Linked DNA regions of Oreochromis niloticus. The protein of the gene in region 1 purifies or fractionates together with the protein of each later gene. This does not show direct contact. Links are inferred from orthologs where the notes say so. Each region holds a gene or a part of one and is shown on either strand. Other genes may lie near its edges.

What was found. The genes of interacting proteins can lie anywhere in the genome.
Region 2: the proteins of fbxo10 (region 1) and acsl4a purify together in Homo sapiens (affinity purification with western blotting; 3 studies listed by BioGRID, with this or other methods). This does not show direct contact. The link is inferred for Oreochromis niloticus from reciprocal best matches to the Homo sapiens genes FBXO10 and ACSL4.

Annotation. Positions count from the first base shown.
Region 1 is NC_031971.2:22,576,568-22,584,415, reverse strand, and holds the start of fbxo10 (F-box only protein 10), read left to right. Parts: upstream 1-4,599; 5' UTR 4,600-4,903; intron 4,904-5,242; 5' UTR 5,243-5,287; coding exon 5,288-5,872; intron 5,873-6,007; coding exon 6,008-6,832; intron 6,833-7,011; coding exon 7,012-7,161; intron 7,162-7,466; coding exon 7,467-7,603; intron 7,604-7,829; coding exon 7,830-7,848. UniProt on the Homo sapiens protein: Substrate-recognition component of the SCF (SKP1-CUL1-F-box protein)-type E3 ubiquitin ligase complex. Mediates the ubiquitination and degradation of BCL2, an antiapoptotic protein, thereby playing a role in apoptosis by controlling the stability of BCL2.
Region 2 is NC_031966.2:30,936,000-30,943,666, reverse strand, and holds the start of acsl4a (long-chain-fatty-acid--CoA ligase 4), read right to left. Parts: upstream 3,206-7,667; 5' UTR 3,057-3,205; intron 3,049-3,056; exon of another isoform or gene 3,024-3,048; intron 1,903-3,023; exon of another isoform or gene 1,368-1,902; intron 1,237-1,367; 5' UTR 1,056-1,236; coding exon 699-1,055; intron 610-698; coding exon 432-609; intron 305-431; coding exon 195-304; intron 1-194. UniProt on the Homo sapiens protein: Catalyzes the conversion of long-chain fatty acids to their active form acyl-CoA for both synthesis of cellular lipids, and degradation via beta-oxidation. Preferentially activates arachidonate and eicosapentaenoate as substrates.

The sequences.
Region 1 (7,848 bases):
AAAACCATCATCATTTCATGCGGAGACCCCTTCGGCGCCAGCTGTGGTCTCAAGACTGGAGCTGTACAACAACACCCTGATTACAGACTGTGTTTAGACTGTTCTTCCCTTTCTATGCAAGGCCACCTGGGTTGGCTGGAAGACTATTTACTTAGCCCGGCAGGGCGAAGGACACTGTCTCAGCTGAACTCTGGACATACACACACACACGCACACAGACATATACACATGCAGATATACACTCATCCCCCCTCCCCTTCCAAACGCCTTCGACGCTTCCAATGCTGACGGTGGATCATGGAGACCAGCGCATAGGCTGCAGGCCCGGATGTACTGTCTACATTGGCTGTCTCTCACCCTTTACCCATCCCTGTTGCTTGTCATGTGTTTCTTTGGTGTATTAAGAGTTTTTTTCATGTGCTATGTGCAGAGGTGTTTTTTTCTGTTCTCAAACTGATCTCCCTGTTGGAGCTCAGTCTGGGGGGAGTTATTTTTTTCTCCTTATCTTTCCTCATGTTGTGCTTTTCCATGCTATACCCCTCTGACCTGTCTTCCCCATGTGATGTTTGTGTAATGTATGTATGGTCGGATGGGTAAGACGGCGCTGGCACGGCTGGCAGCCTTAATCCAATTTCCCTCGGGATGAATAAAGTATAATCAATCAATCTTTTAACATACAATAATTTAATAAGATAATTAAATGAAGATGGAAAATTAAGCAGAAAAACTGCTTACTGGCTCCATCTTATCTTACAAAATATGGCACATACTACACACACACACACACACTTGTACAGACAATAAGAAGCGTGGGGTGACTTCATGGTATGACCATGTCCACTTACATGGATGTGATTTTCTGCTATTGAATTCAGAAAAAACTGAAGTTATTGTGCTCAGCCCTGAAAATCTTAGAAATATAGTATCTAACCAGATACTTACTCTAGATGGCATTACCTTGGCATCCAGTAACACCGTGAGGGACTTTGGAGTCATTTTTGACCAGGATATGTCCTTTAATGCACATATTAAACAAATATGTAGGACTGACTTCGTTCATTTGCGCAACATCTCTAAAATTCAAAATATTCTGTCTCAGAGCAACGCTGAAAAAGTAGTTCATGCATTTATTACTTCTAGGCTAAACTCCTGTTATTCATTATTATCAGGATGTCCTAAAACTACCTGAAAAGTCTTCAGTTGATCTAAAATGCTGCAGCAAGAGTACTGACAGGGACTAGAAAGAGAGATCATATTTCTCCTATATTGACTTCATTTCATTGGCTCCCTGTTAAATCCAGAATTGAATTCAAAATCCACACATACAAGGTCTTGAATAATCAGGCTCCATCTTATCTTAATGACCTTATAGTACCATATCACCCCATTAGAACACCTCGCTCTTGCGCTGCAGGCTTACTTGTTGTTCCCAGAGTATTTAAAAGTAGAAAGGTAGGCAGAGCCTTCGGTTTTCCGGCCCATTTTTTATGGAACCAGCTTCCATAGAACACGTGGACCTCCATCCACATTTGAAATTTGTGACGAGGGGGGAAAATGCGCTGGATCTTCTTTACACAAACATTCCCAGAGTGTACCGAGCAAAGCCCCACCTCCAGCTCGGATACTCAGACCACTTGTCTGTTATGCTAATTCCAGGATACAGAACGCTCGTCAGACACTGCAAACTGGTTCTGAGACAGGTGAGAACCTGGCCTGCAGGAGCAATCTCTGCTCTTCGGGACTATTTTGAGCACACAGACTGGGATATGTTCAGGGAGGCAGCAACAAATGATGACTACACCAACTTGGAGTAGTACACATCATCTGTGACCAGTTACATCAGCAAGTGCATCGATGATATCCAAGATTACACGCCTTAACCAGAAACTGTGGATGACTTCAGAAGTGTGTGAGCTGCTAAAAACACAAGACTCCTTCAGAGCCAGCGACAAGGCGGCCCTGGGAATAGCAAGGGCCAAACTGTCTGGAGTCATCAGTTCAGCGAAGCGAGCACATGGCAGAAGAATCCATGGCCACTTCCCAGACAGCCGCAACACGCGGCACATGTAGCAGGCCATCAAGGCCATCATCAACTACAGGAAGAAGACACCTGGCTGTAATGGTGACGCCTCCCTACCAGATGCACTTAGCAACTTCTATGCATGGTTTGATGCTCAGAATGACGTGCTGGTGAGGAATTTTTGCACAATGCTCAGTCTTTTGGATCAGGCGACCCTGAATCCTCCCTTAGTCATGCTGCAGTAGGTATAGGCTGCTGGGGGATTCCTACAATACATTGAGTATTTCTTCTTCAGTCATCTTTCTCAATTACTATTTGTTAATAGACCTCTCTGCATTAAATCATACTTGTTATTAATCTCTGGTTCTCTTCCACAGTATGTCTTTTAACCTGTCTTCCTTCTCTCACCCCAACCGGTTGCAGCAGATGGCTGACCCTCCCTAAGCCTGGTTCTGCTGAAGGCTTCTTCCTGTTAAAAGGGAGTTTTTCCTTCCCACTGTCACCAGTGGGAAGTGCTTGCTCATAGGGAGTCATATGATTGTAGGGTCTGCCTTACAATATAAAGCGCCTTGAGGGACCTGTTGTGATTTGGCGCTGTATAAATAAAACTGAATTCAACTATGGATGTGAAAAATTCATATTTTGTAGTAGGAAAGTTGCTGCCAGTCAGGCTGAAACAATTATTTAATACGACTTGTACTTTTCACTTGATAAGCTTTTCTTTGAAACCTTCACGTCTGCCTTCCTAACACTCCTCTCAGTGGCTTTAGTCGTCATAGCAACCGGTCCCCGCAGGTGTGCAGTGAAGTCACGTTTTCTCTTTCAGGGTTATTTTATGATACCGCAGTTTTGTCCGTTTCCATATGTATGTAGACCCCATGGAGACGGGTATTCGGCTTACACACGCGTGCTCCCGTGCCGTTCTCTTGAAATCCAACAACGCATAGTTTGGCATAGGCTGAACGCTGATTGGTTGATAAGTGGGCCAAAGCAGACCCGAGAAACACGATCCGTTCTGCCATGTGCTCATGTCCTTACCTTTCACAATAAAAGCCCCTGAGTCCTGAATGCTTTGCAGTTTGACTAGAGCCATCACGCTAAGAAGCTGAATTAAATAGCTTACAAAGGTGAAGAGATTTGCAAGAGATTCTGAGGTATACATAAGAACCACATCATTGATTTAGAGGTATGAAATGAAAGACAGTAAATGATGTAACAGATTGGTGGCAGATGAAAGGGCGTTAAAAGTGGTTATCTTTCTAAAGACAAGAGCAATATTAAATGTCAACACTGAGTAACTGACTGAAATTAATATTTACCACATGTCAGAATAATTTATTAAATAAATTATCTATTTGTTTTTAAGTATTCACTGCTGAGGTTCTGATCAAAATGTTTCAACAGTGACATCTGCTGGCTAGATGGGGTAGGGCAATCCATGTGATTGTGCAGACAAGAAATCAGCAGGACTCTCACCTCTTCAGGATGTGATCTTTTACATTAATATAATGAACTTCCGTTTTTTTCCATGCTAATACTTATTCTAACAGCTGCGAAGGACTGTTAAATTAGGAGAGAATGGATTTTGAAGGGTACATTCATCAGCAAAAAAACGCACTGCTGTGGGAAGGAAAGTGCTGCTTTTGTGGCAGAGCTGCAGGCCTCTTTGCCTTAGCATTGGCACTGGATTTTGATATTGACAATGGAGTGTTTCACTGTTATTTTGGCTGTGTATTGTGATAGTCTATTTTAACCTATTTTAATAGAAACTGCCTATGCATTCAGAAAGACAAAATGAAAGGTTTTTCTACTTTTGAGTGGAAATAGATAATGTACTTACTGTATTAAGTCCTTTCATCCTCATGCTAACCCGTTACTCACATTCTATGCAGCCAGAAGCTACCAGAAAAACATCCATTAATTAGAGATGACCTATTTGTTAACAGTTCAGTTTTTTTCCACTCAGTGTGCAAATGTAATATAAACAGAGAAGCCATGCAAGTTCAGAGTGACCAAAACTCCAGATTCCAGACTCAAACAAAGTAAAATGATAACTTAATAAATGCTGACTTTACTGTTTTAGAAAAGAAAAGCGCATTTAGTCTCACATTTACTTCACTATTTATTTTACTGTAACAAAATTGGCTAAAGGTGTGTTGAGTTTAGGCAATGGAAACCACAGGCATTATGGTTGGTAACCTACTGCTAGCTTTCTGTTTAATTTGTTCTGTTTTAAAACTTGCATCGTTGTATAAAAATGATAATATTTAGGCCTATGTTAAATTCCTTATGATTGTTCTGTCATTTTACACATTTCAACAACAATTAAACAGTTAGTATGTTTAAAAAAATACACTGTCAGGTACTGTTTTTTTTTTTATTTCTCTCCAGTACACTAGAAAGTCATGATAATAGTTCTGGTAAATGTAGGATGTACATAGATTTATTTATTTTTTTAATTTTTTTTTTTTTAATTGATAATATATAGTTAATATTGGGGTGCTGAGGTGGGATTAGCGGGGGGCACCAAATTAAATTCCACTTAAGGCACCATAGAACCTTGGACCGGCTCTGAATTTGGGGTCTAACTAGTTAACAACATTCTTCCCTATACTTCAGCTTCCCCTCGGATGCACCAAGGGGAAACTGAAGTAAACGCCCACTTTTGGGAAGCGGAAGATGGGGATCTTGGGTTTCTTGCTGTAAACTGTAAGCAACCGTCTGAACTCCATTTATTTCGATGGTACATCTGCAGTAATTATGATAACTGTAAACTCCCGAAGAATGCGAAGACAAAGTCAGTGTCGCAGGCATGCGACGCCGGATGGATGGCTTGTCTAAACGTCGAGCCGACATGTGTTGACTATGGCAAACTGGTAAAAGGTAAGGACGTTTTGGCTAGCGTTAGTTACGCCGCTAGCTAACCGCGTTTAACTGCAGCAAACTTTCAGGGCAATATTGCAGGCCCTTAGTGGAGATATCGTTTACCGATACGCAAAATGAACAGTAAGGTTATATAATTCATATCTAGTTTTCGCTGTATTTTGTTTTTCGGCTAAAATTAACGCTGGTCGTGGCGCCATTTGGTGTTGATGTGCGAATATTAAAAACAAAACGCACTTGAATATCCTGTTGTGTAATATTGTGCGTCTTCATAATTGTTGTGTAACGGTTTGCGCTTCCTGTTGCCTGAAATGCGCGTGCATGTGTGTCTGTCTCTAGGTATCCCGCCCATCGCGGTGCTAACCAGCCGGCGTCTCTGCTGCCATGGAGGTGGGCAGCCTCCCCGTGGAGCTGTGGAGGGTTATCTTAGCCTATCTCCCTCTCCCTGACCTGGGCCGCTGCTGCCAGGTGTGCCGTGCCTGGCGGGAGCTCATCCTCTCTCTGGATAACACCCGCTGGAGACAGCTCTGCCTGGGCTGCCCTGAGTGCCGACATCCCAACTGGCCTAGTCAACCTCATCTGGAGCCCCCTTCGTGGAGAGAGGCCCTGAAACAGCATGCCCTTGCCACCCGCACCTGGACTCAAAATGGTCCAGAGCTCCAGTCCTCCGCTTGCCTCCTCTTCTTCCGCCGTCGGAAAGATCGCAGGGTTTGGCACGTGGGGCCGGGATGTGAGTTTGAGACCCTGCGCGGAGCCCTTGGGGTGGTGGGACCTTACGACCGAGTGGTGCTCCATCCAGGGGTGTATGAGGAGCAGGCTGAGGTAGCGCTGAAAGTACCGGTGGAGCTGGTTGGGTTAGGCCGACTAGGCGAGGTGGCCCTCTTAGTGTGTATGGAGCAGCAGTGCCCTACTGCCAGGCTGTGTAATCTGGTGTTCATGCCACCCTGGTTCTCCACGGTTGTCTACAAGGTGAAGTAGCAGCTTGTTTCCTAAGAGTCTCAGAGTCAGATTGGCCTAGTCTATACACTCCTATAAACACAAATTTCTTGAGAAAATAGAATCTAATTATAGTTCTTTGTTTCTTTCTGTCTTGCTCTCCTCTAGACATCCTGGGGACATGTCCAACTAGATAACTGCAACTTTGAGGGAGCTCAGCTGCAAGTCCGCGGGCCAGGAACCTGCCAGGCTCGGTTTTGCTCTTTCTCCCAGGGCAGCTCTGCACACTTGCTGGGAGTTGTCCTGAGTTTATTTGACAGCTGTGACTTCTCAGGAAGTGACACAGCTTCAGTGACTGTGGAAGGTCCCCCGGTCTCAGAAAGGAACTGGGCTTGTAAACATTTGGCAGCTCTGGCTAGGACGTTCCCATCATGTGGCCTATCTGAGCATAATAGTTCTCCCAAAGGACATCCGGCTGCCTCCACTGGTGGACACCAACCTCCAGGTGCTAATGTTAAAAAGGAGAGCATAACCATAGATGACTGGAAGAGGAGAACAGGGGTAGATGGGGTATGTCAGAGGACAGTGATTGAAGATGGCTGGAGTGATGGTGAGCGCAGTGAGGGAGAGGAGAACAGAGACGAGGGGGGGGCCAACAACACCAAAAAGCATTTTACACTGGAGTACAAAATCCCATGTGACCATCATGGCCTATCGCATTTGCTCAACCCCCAGCCAGATGGCTCTCTTCCGCTTTCCTCTTCCCCCGATCCCCCATCCATGATCCCTGACCCTCTCACCCTACAGCAGGAGTTAGACAGGGACCCAGAGGCTCACATGTTGGCAGCATCGACACTTGGCTGCATCCTCAGACGATGCCTCTTCAGGGACGGGAAGGGCGGTGTACATTTGTCCAATTATGGACAAGCTCGACTGGAGGAGAATGTTTTTCGTGGGCTGAACTACGCCGTGCGCTGCATCCAAAACTCCACAGTTAATAATGTTCCTAGTAACTTTGCTTCATACAAATGGCATGAATCTGTGATTGTGTATTGTGTGTATTCGGGAAACATATCAAGTTAAAGTAGCTCGGGTCATTAGTAATTTAACATCAGTGTCCTATTCAAGCTGCTACTTGATCACCTTCCTTTTCTGTCTCTCTCCTGCTTCAGATCGTAATGCTGAGAAACGAGGTCTGCGAATGTCGTGCATCAGGCGTGTTTCTGCGCCTCTCTGCTCAGGGCCTCATAGCAGAAAACAACATCCACTCGAACGGGGAGGCAGGGCTGGATATCCGAAAGGGGGCTAACCCAACCATTGTGGTAAATGCAACACAATTGCTGATTGGATTCCAACTTTTTAAAGATGCAAGCAAACAACAAAAAATTTCCTGTGATAGCATGTCCCAGACCCTTTCAGCAGCATGCCCAGATATCATGGATAAGGAGAATTTTGTTCACTACTCTTCTAACTTACTCAACTTAAGAGCTTAAGATGTTCTTGCGTGCATAAAACAAAAAGAACCAGAGTATGAATATTTATAATTTCCAGAAATGATCTATTCAGGCTTTCCAGATGAAACTAATTTCCTCAGTCTCTTTATCCACTATCAACTATTAATCCACAGTGCAACAAAATACACAGTGGTTTGCGCTCTGGGGTTGTTGTCCTTGGCAATGGAAAAGGTTCAATTCGAAGCAATCAGATTTACAACAACAAAGAAGCTGGGGTATATATTCTCTTCAGTGGAAATCCCGTGGTAAGGTAGGTTGGAGTCTGCAAGCAATTAATTTGGATATTATTCACTCTTTTCATGTTTATATCTTGAGACTGGATTTGTTTAAAAAGATATAAATCTGGATTTCTGTAGAAAACCTACAGCAGAGCTAGCTTTTTTTTTTTTTTCTTTTGACACCAATTTTCTGTTCTCCTATCCATCATTTGCTCCGTGGGAACTTTTATCCCCCCTTTTTTTTTCTTTCTTTCTCAGTGGGAATCACATCTTCCAG
Region 2 (7,667 bases), on another chromosome or scaffold:
GTGGACAAAAATATTATTCTGGGTTTTCCAAACTTTAATGTTAACAATTTGCTACATCTTAAATTATAATCATGTGATGATAATTGAGGCTGGTTAGATGGTAAACAAAGACATCTCATGAGAATAATCATATCACTGCTTCTCTTGTTCTTAGGAGTGGTGGTTGGACCATGTGCTGTAAAGGATTAACTCACTTTCAGCTTAGTCTCAAGGAGCTCCACGCTGGTGACCAAATGTGAAACATCCGTCTCATTCAGTCCGAAAGCAATTGCATCCTCCCCCAGTGTTGCGTAGAACGTCACCACTGCAATAATAATATTTTTTTTAAAAGGATTTCAGTGAGTGAGAGCATTAAATTATGAAACACTTAACACAGCATTCACGCTATCTGACCCCAAAATCTTGGATTGAACGCGCTGAGATATACTTACGTGGGAAATTGCGCCTAAAGCATGCCTGAGCAGTGATCATCCACTCTGCTCTGGTTTCACAGAAGATCGCAATAGTGCTTTTGGGTTGCTGCCCCAAAGCCGCCAATCCACTGCCAAACTCATTGACTATGGAGTCGAGCTCATTGTAGGATAACCATTTGTACTCCCCTAGGATCACCTAAAAGGGGAAAGGGTCACATAAATAACACCGAACATCTCTGATCACTTAAGCATCTGTCAACAGAGCAGTAAACTGAGCAACCTTACCTTTTTAAAAACTTTGCCGCTGGGCTGAGTCTCGTTCTCTTCGCTCAGAATCTCTCGGGTTCCTAGACAGTCAGCTTCGCCGAAACGCTGCACAGCATGCTTAAACAGCTTATCGAGTGTGTCCTTGCCTGGGAAGTCTTCCCTGGCCAGGGAATCAAATTGGTCCACGGAGCGGTATGGTCCCTCGGCACAACCTGATTTGGAACGGGCTTTTATCCTCTTGGACAGAGCTTTTCTTTGGCCAGCTCCGGTGAGGTAGTACCAAGGCAGGAATGATACTATTGAGTACAGCCATATGATAAGGTGGATTGGAAAAAGGAGGATAGATTGGAGGACAGAGTCTGACTGAAGACCCATGCTTTTCTCTGGAAGGGAGCTGAGCAGCAGGTTATCAGAAAGGTGTCGAGCTTGCTGGTCCCAAAGATGTTTGAGGTGCGTCAGGAGAATTGTGTTGGACGGGAAGAGAGAAAAAAGCTCTTAAACTCTTAAGAGTCCCACAGTTGTAGTATGTAAATATTTGGTCCACAAAATGCTTAAGCTAAAGTTGAGACAGAAAAGAAAAACAAACAAAAAACACAATCAATTGATACAGTTCATTAATCAGCTGCCTGTGAGATCACTTAAATGACTCAAGTTAGATGTCAAAAGCAAGAGAGAGTTGATTTTCACCCAAATATCTATCGCATGCCAAGAGATGTCACAAAAGGGAAGTTGGGTGGTTAACCAAGTTCGCCTGGCGGTTGACTTCTTGCTTAAAGGAAATGACAGAACTCTGACAAAACACTAGATTGAAAATAAAAAGTGAACCATTAACCATCAGTATCTCAGGCTTATCTAAACCCTTCCACCACTGTGCTACCTCTTCTTTACAGACAGGAAGACTGCACTACACATGGCAAGTATCCACAGCCTCACCACCTCCTCGCTGCGTACCAAACCGCCTCTGTATGTCTGAAAGCTTTCAGTGCTCAGCTCGTTATAATGTCCTCTGTTGCACTCAAACACCTGCCTGCTTTTAAACAACAGGTTAACTGAAAGGTCATGGAGGGATGAAGTAGTGCGGAGATGTGGTCACACTGACCAGACTGGCTACTGTCCAATGAGGATCGTGCTGCAGACAACCAATGACAATACTCTTTAGGCTCACCCCACTTGGTGGTCAGGGAAGGGTCACTATAGAGCAAGCTCAGCTTGCTGATATCCTTAGAGTGCAGAGGCGGTAAAGTAGTTAAAACAAACTGCGTCTCATAATTGCAAAATGTAGTCAATATCCACATGTTTGCTCTGTGGCTGAACCCGTTTAGCACGTGACAAAGTAATTGTAGCCTACGGCAGTCAGCTATTATGTGGAAAGTTGCTTTATGGCACAAGACAGACACCGGTTACCTGTAAATAAAAGAACAGTGTGTACTTGGCTACATTAAGACATTTATGCAAAAAGAAGGTCAAACCACGTAACTGGCTTTCCCAATCCTGAAAGCTTACACACTTCATCGTGAGTCACATTTCAGTGAATCATATCCTCCGTGTACGTCACATCTGTCCATACATCTTAAAGAATGATAGTACACCCACACATGAATCAAAGCGGCGGAGATAGAAATATTTATATGTCAGGATCTTTTTCTGGGCTCTTACTTGTGGAAATAAAAATACCCTGAAAACATTCCTGTGTGATGACAGGACGTGGTGATGGTGATGATGATGGAAAAGCCATGGTTCACTAGCTTAAAACACTAGTTTTTCTCTCTCTCTTGGGTGGAATTGAATAAAAGTAAATTAAAATCATTTTACACGGGAATACGGGAGTGAGTGGTTCGATGCAAATCTCCTCACACGTCTATATCTAGTTGTAAGTGATAACACGTTATCTAACGGTAAAAGCCCAACACTGCATATCCGTTTAGGGCAGATATTGCTAACAAAAGCGACAGTTTAATACCGGGAAATGCTAAAGTTGTAGCCGGGGTCTGCGGTTTCCACTTGTAACACGTTACCCTAAAACACCATGAAAAGCAATACGAGCTGTAATTAAAATTAAAGCGACTTTCTCGCCCCCTTTACATAATTGGTCTGCTTCAAAATAAGGCGAGCTGGGAAGCAAATCTGACCTCCTTATCTAGCAGTGAAACGACAATGGGTCAGGAGCGGCATGGCAGACGAAATGACGACAAAAGCCGCCGCACGTTGCTGGCACGGCGAGTCTCACTGGCAAGTTGATTAACGTTAGCTGCTGTCGCTTAAACCCGCTCAATATTAGCAGCACACATTAACTAACGGATAAAGGCTCTAATGAGATTACAGCAGTCAGATAGAGAGTGATACCCTGCTGTATTGGCAGACTGGCAGCATTCTTACCTTCAGCTGAAGAAAGCCCGGTCAGCCGTGTGCCGCTCTTTAGCAAATGACCGAAAGTTACCTTTTGTCGGGACCTAGAAACCCGGAACCACTACGTCATCTGATTCCATATTTCTCGACCAATGAGCAGCCAAAGCGGATTTGCGCTCTTTTATGCTACGTCCGCTTAAAAACAAAAAGAAAAAAAGAAAAAGAAAAAGGTAACAGGAAGTCAGTAATGCGTATGTTCTCTGGCTCTGTTACAGCACCTGTATTTTTCTTTCATCATGTAATGGTTATGTGTGTATTTTTCCGAAGTTTACATCCAAACAAAAGCAAAATAATAATAATAATAATAATAATAATAATAATAATAAAGTTACCGTACTTGCACTCTTATCTAATATATTTTGCAGATAGATCTGATAATTGAAATCAGATCATTTGTTTACATATTATGCAGCTTACATAAATCCAGTTGAGATCTGATAATTTATGTTTATATATAATGGAACTCACATAACCTCGTATAATATTAGACTGAAACCTGGTTTTTACATTTATGAATCTGCTTTGATGTGTGCCTGATTTGGTATTTATTAATGTCACTGAAAATTCTACAAGCACCATTCCCCCTTGTAAATAGATCGATGGATAAATAGGTACGTAAATACAGCACAGACTGATTGCTGATTACTGGACTATGGAGTCCTTAGCCTGAACAAGATTATTTAAAATCATGTATCAGTAGCGAGTTTACCTATGAAACATGGAATAGATCCAGAAAAGCTCAAAACTGTAGGAGTTGGAGAAGTAAATCCAAGAAAAACAATGAAAGCACAACGGCATATCACTCTGTGATGTAAAAAAAAAAAAAAAAAAAAACAAAGAGAGAGAGAGAGAGAGAGAGAGAGAGAGAGAAAGAGAAAACTCTTTTAAAGCAAATAAACATCCCATCACTGAGGCACAAGTCAGCTGTGGAAACAAGGGATGTTGGATTTTTATTTATTTTTTTCAAATTCAGTGCATGAGAGCACTCATCCACAATAACAATACAACAACTTAGGTAAGATTCATCATCTTTATCACCACATTCTATTGTAAAATCACTGAGTTGACAAAATGACTCCCTACAGTACTGTGCAAAAGTTTCCGGCAACCCATGATAAATAGGCAGCTTCCTTGTATTTTGTTAGGGAAACTGGAAATGGGTGCAGCTATTTATTGAAACAAGTGCACATGTGGAAATATGAAGTCAATCTTGGCTACATGCAAAATCAGTATACACACATACATGGTAATAGAGCCTATGAATTGAAAGCAGAGATTGTATTTTAAGCTTTAAAGTCAATATTTGACATAATCACCAAAACTCTCTTAGTCAGATTTCTTGACATTTCTTTAAGTAGTCTTCAGGAATAGTTCCCCAGGCTTTTTGAAAGAAGTTCAAAGTTCTTCTTTGGATGTTGACTGCATTTTGTTCTGTTCTATATAAAGATGATCCCACACTGCTTCAATAATGTTGAAGTCAGAGCTCTGGGGAGGCCAATCCATGTCTGATATTGTTCATTGTGTGTTTTTCTATCCAGATAAGATTTTACTGCATTGGCAGTGTGTTTGGGATCATTGTCATGCTGAGCAATGAAACTGTTGCCAATCAAATGTTTTTCAGATGGTATTTCATGATGGATCGAAATGTGATGGTACTTTTCTGAAGTGATCATTCCACCCCAAGAAGAGTGCCTGACATGTAGCCCAAAACCATCATAGAGCTTCCACCATGCTTTACAAATGGCTTGAGATACTTATTGTTGTACCACCCTCCTGCCCTCCTCTGTACATAGGGACAACAATTTGAACCAAAACTTTCACATTTGGAAACAGACCTGTTGTCATTGATTTTCAGCCTACTCCTTGTATAATTTGGGATATTATAGCAGTCAGACGTTGCACACGGATCCCACAGGCTTGATTTATTTTTATTTTTTTCCATCAAGGACATGACTTTCAGGTACTGCTCACCTGCTGTAGTCTTTTTTTTTTTTTTTTTTCTGTTGGAGCCTACCACTTCTTCTTTTGTCCTCTGCATTTCCAGTTTCCTCAGATTTTCTAAGGTCAACATATGCAAGGTTTTCAGCTAATAGCTGTTTGAGAATGACCTTACTGGTCCAAAACATATTTGTTAAACTGTGTTAACTTTGATGCTCTATGCTTAGATAAGTTATAGGTCAGTGTTGAGTGTCTTAACAAACAAAAATTATTCATTTGAAAATGGTCAGATACACAAATTGGACTGAAAATGACTGAAAAAGCAGACAATGTCTAAAGAAAAATGTGACAAAAATCCTTCAGAAAACCTGAAGAACTATTTTTTAAAACTACTTTAAAAAATTGTCTAACTCTTTGTAATTTTACATATAAGATATACTTTTGTGTTTGACTCTTTTGTTCCTCCAAGCCACAGGTGTCAAACTCTAGTCTTCGAGGGCCAGTATCCTGTAACTTTTACATGTGTCCCTGCTGCAACACACCTGAATAAACTTAGTAGGTCATTAGGGAGACTATAGAACTTGACTGCATGCTGAGGTAGCAATTCAGCCATTTGATTCATGTTACAGCAGCTAATGAATGAATGAACATGGTGCAATAAAAGTATTTTTAAAAGTACATTTTTCCAAACACTTAAAATTTATTTAAATTTACTTGAGTAGGATTAGTGGTTGCCACCTCAGCATGCAGTCAAGACCTATAGTGTCTTGCTAATGACCTACTAATGTTATTCAGGTGTGTTGGAGCAGGGACACATGTAAAAGATTCAGGATACTGGCCCTCAAGGACTGGAGTTTGACACCTCTGCGTCTAAGCAGTTGCACCAATGAGAATGCACCACGTTCCTGCTTGTAGTTCCTTGCGAAGGCTTTGGAAATGATACTTCCAAAACACCATTCAACCAGAACGTTAGAGCATACATGAGTCAGGCTGTTTCCACAACCGCTCAGCTGTCGGGGGCTACAAATATGATGTAAACAGAAGATTCTGAGCAATCCTCCCTTATGATAAGGTCTGGAAATCATGAGCTGCACCTTTCTGTAGTATTTCGCAAGAATGAATGAAAAAACGTACTGGAAAGCGCATATACCTTGGAGGTTTATGCAAACCATAATCTTGTCATTCCTGTTCTCCTTGGTACCTGGAATAGAGGGATGTGTTATGCAAACATGAGTTCCATGTGTGTAACCAATGAATCATAGAATGCTAACACATGCTAACCTAATAGTTAGCACGTGTTGTCAGGGAAGTTTGTGTAATGTTAATTCACAAACTCAAAGTCAGTTAATGAGTTTATTGTCGGATCACTGACACCACACAAAGCCCCAGTTTCTTTGTGACAAAAACCTTAAAGTAACAAGTGCCCAGAGATAAACTGGTTCAGGCCATCCTCTGCAGGTCACAGATGAAAGCTGGATTTCAAAGGCGTAACAATCTCCGTAGCTTTTCCTTTAAACATTCAAACAAAATCTCTAAAAGTGATTTCATCAAATTGCTGCTAGGGTCACTTCATTAATGTGGTCAAATTAATTTGACATCCTAAAATTATTCTGAAGTTAAACCTGATTCCTAGGATGTTTATTTTAAGCATCAATGCAATACTGGAGTAGCGCTAAAAAATTTTTCAGTTAAAACACCCAGACCAGTCATTGAAAAGTTCCACACACATTTAATATGAACAAATTGTTCATGTTAATGTCGCCCTCAAGTGGTCAGTGAAGTAGCAGATGGGGTTAATGAGGTTCAGCTGCTTTGGTGTTAATGAAATTAAGAGCAGCAACAATGACACAAACCAGACTTAATGAAATTAAGAGCAGCAACAATGACACAAACCAGACTTAATGAAATTAAGAGCAGCAACAATGACACAAACCAGACCTGGACCCTACAAAGGTCGCACAGATAGGCCAACTCCTCCAGTGCAGCTCATCAATAAATATCATTGGTATGTCTCCTAGCACAGACTCAAGAGCGTGGAGGAGATCCCAGGAAACAGGCAGTTACTATAAGAAAGATTTTTTTTTTTTATTTAAAAAGTGTTCTTTGTGTTAACGTCAATGTCGCCCTCAAGTGGCTGAAAAGTAGGAGAAAATGTTTTAAAACAAAATAAAACCAAAAGGAAAGTCAATCTGTCAAATAAAACTACAAACAAATAGGTTACTTTAAAGGAGTCCTGATTAAACCGATTTAATGCCAACTTTAATTCTCTCTTTTGTGTACATATTCTATTGGAAATACAGGTTTATTTATGCATCTGTTTATGACTAACTGGCCAAAGGCTAGAAATTTCCAGACCAATGGGAAATCTGTTTTGCTTCTCTATTTGCTCAGTTAATCCACTCCACGAGAATCTTTATTATTCATAAATGTAATAAAATAAAACGCAAGCAACACAAGTGGGTAAATAGACAAATGTATAACTATATGCATCTAATGTATCTCCCAATTACAGAAAAAGTAAATCGCGTAACCCTTATTGATACTTACTGCTGGGATTGATCAGAGCTCTGCTGATTCGTGCTAGACGTGCACACTTTGTTCCAAAACACTGAAACGGGTAAATATATCTCCACATAAACCTAT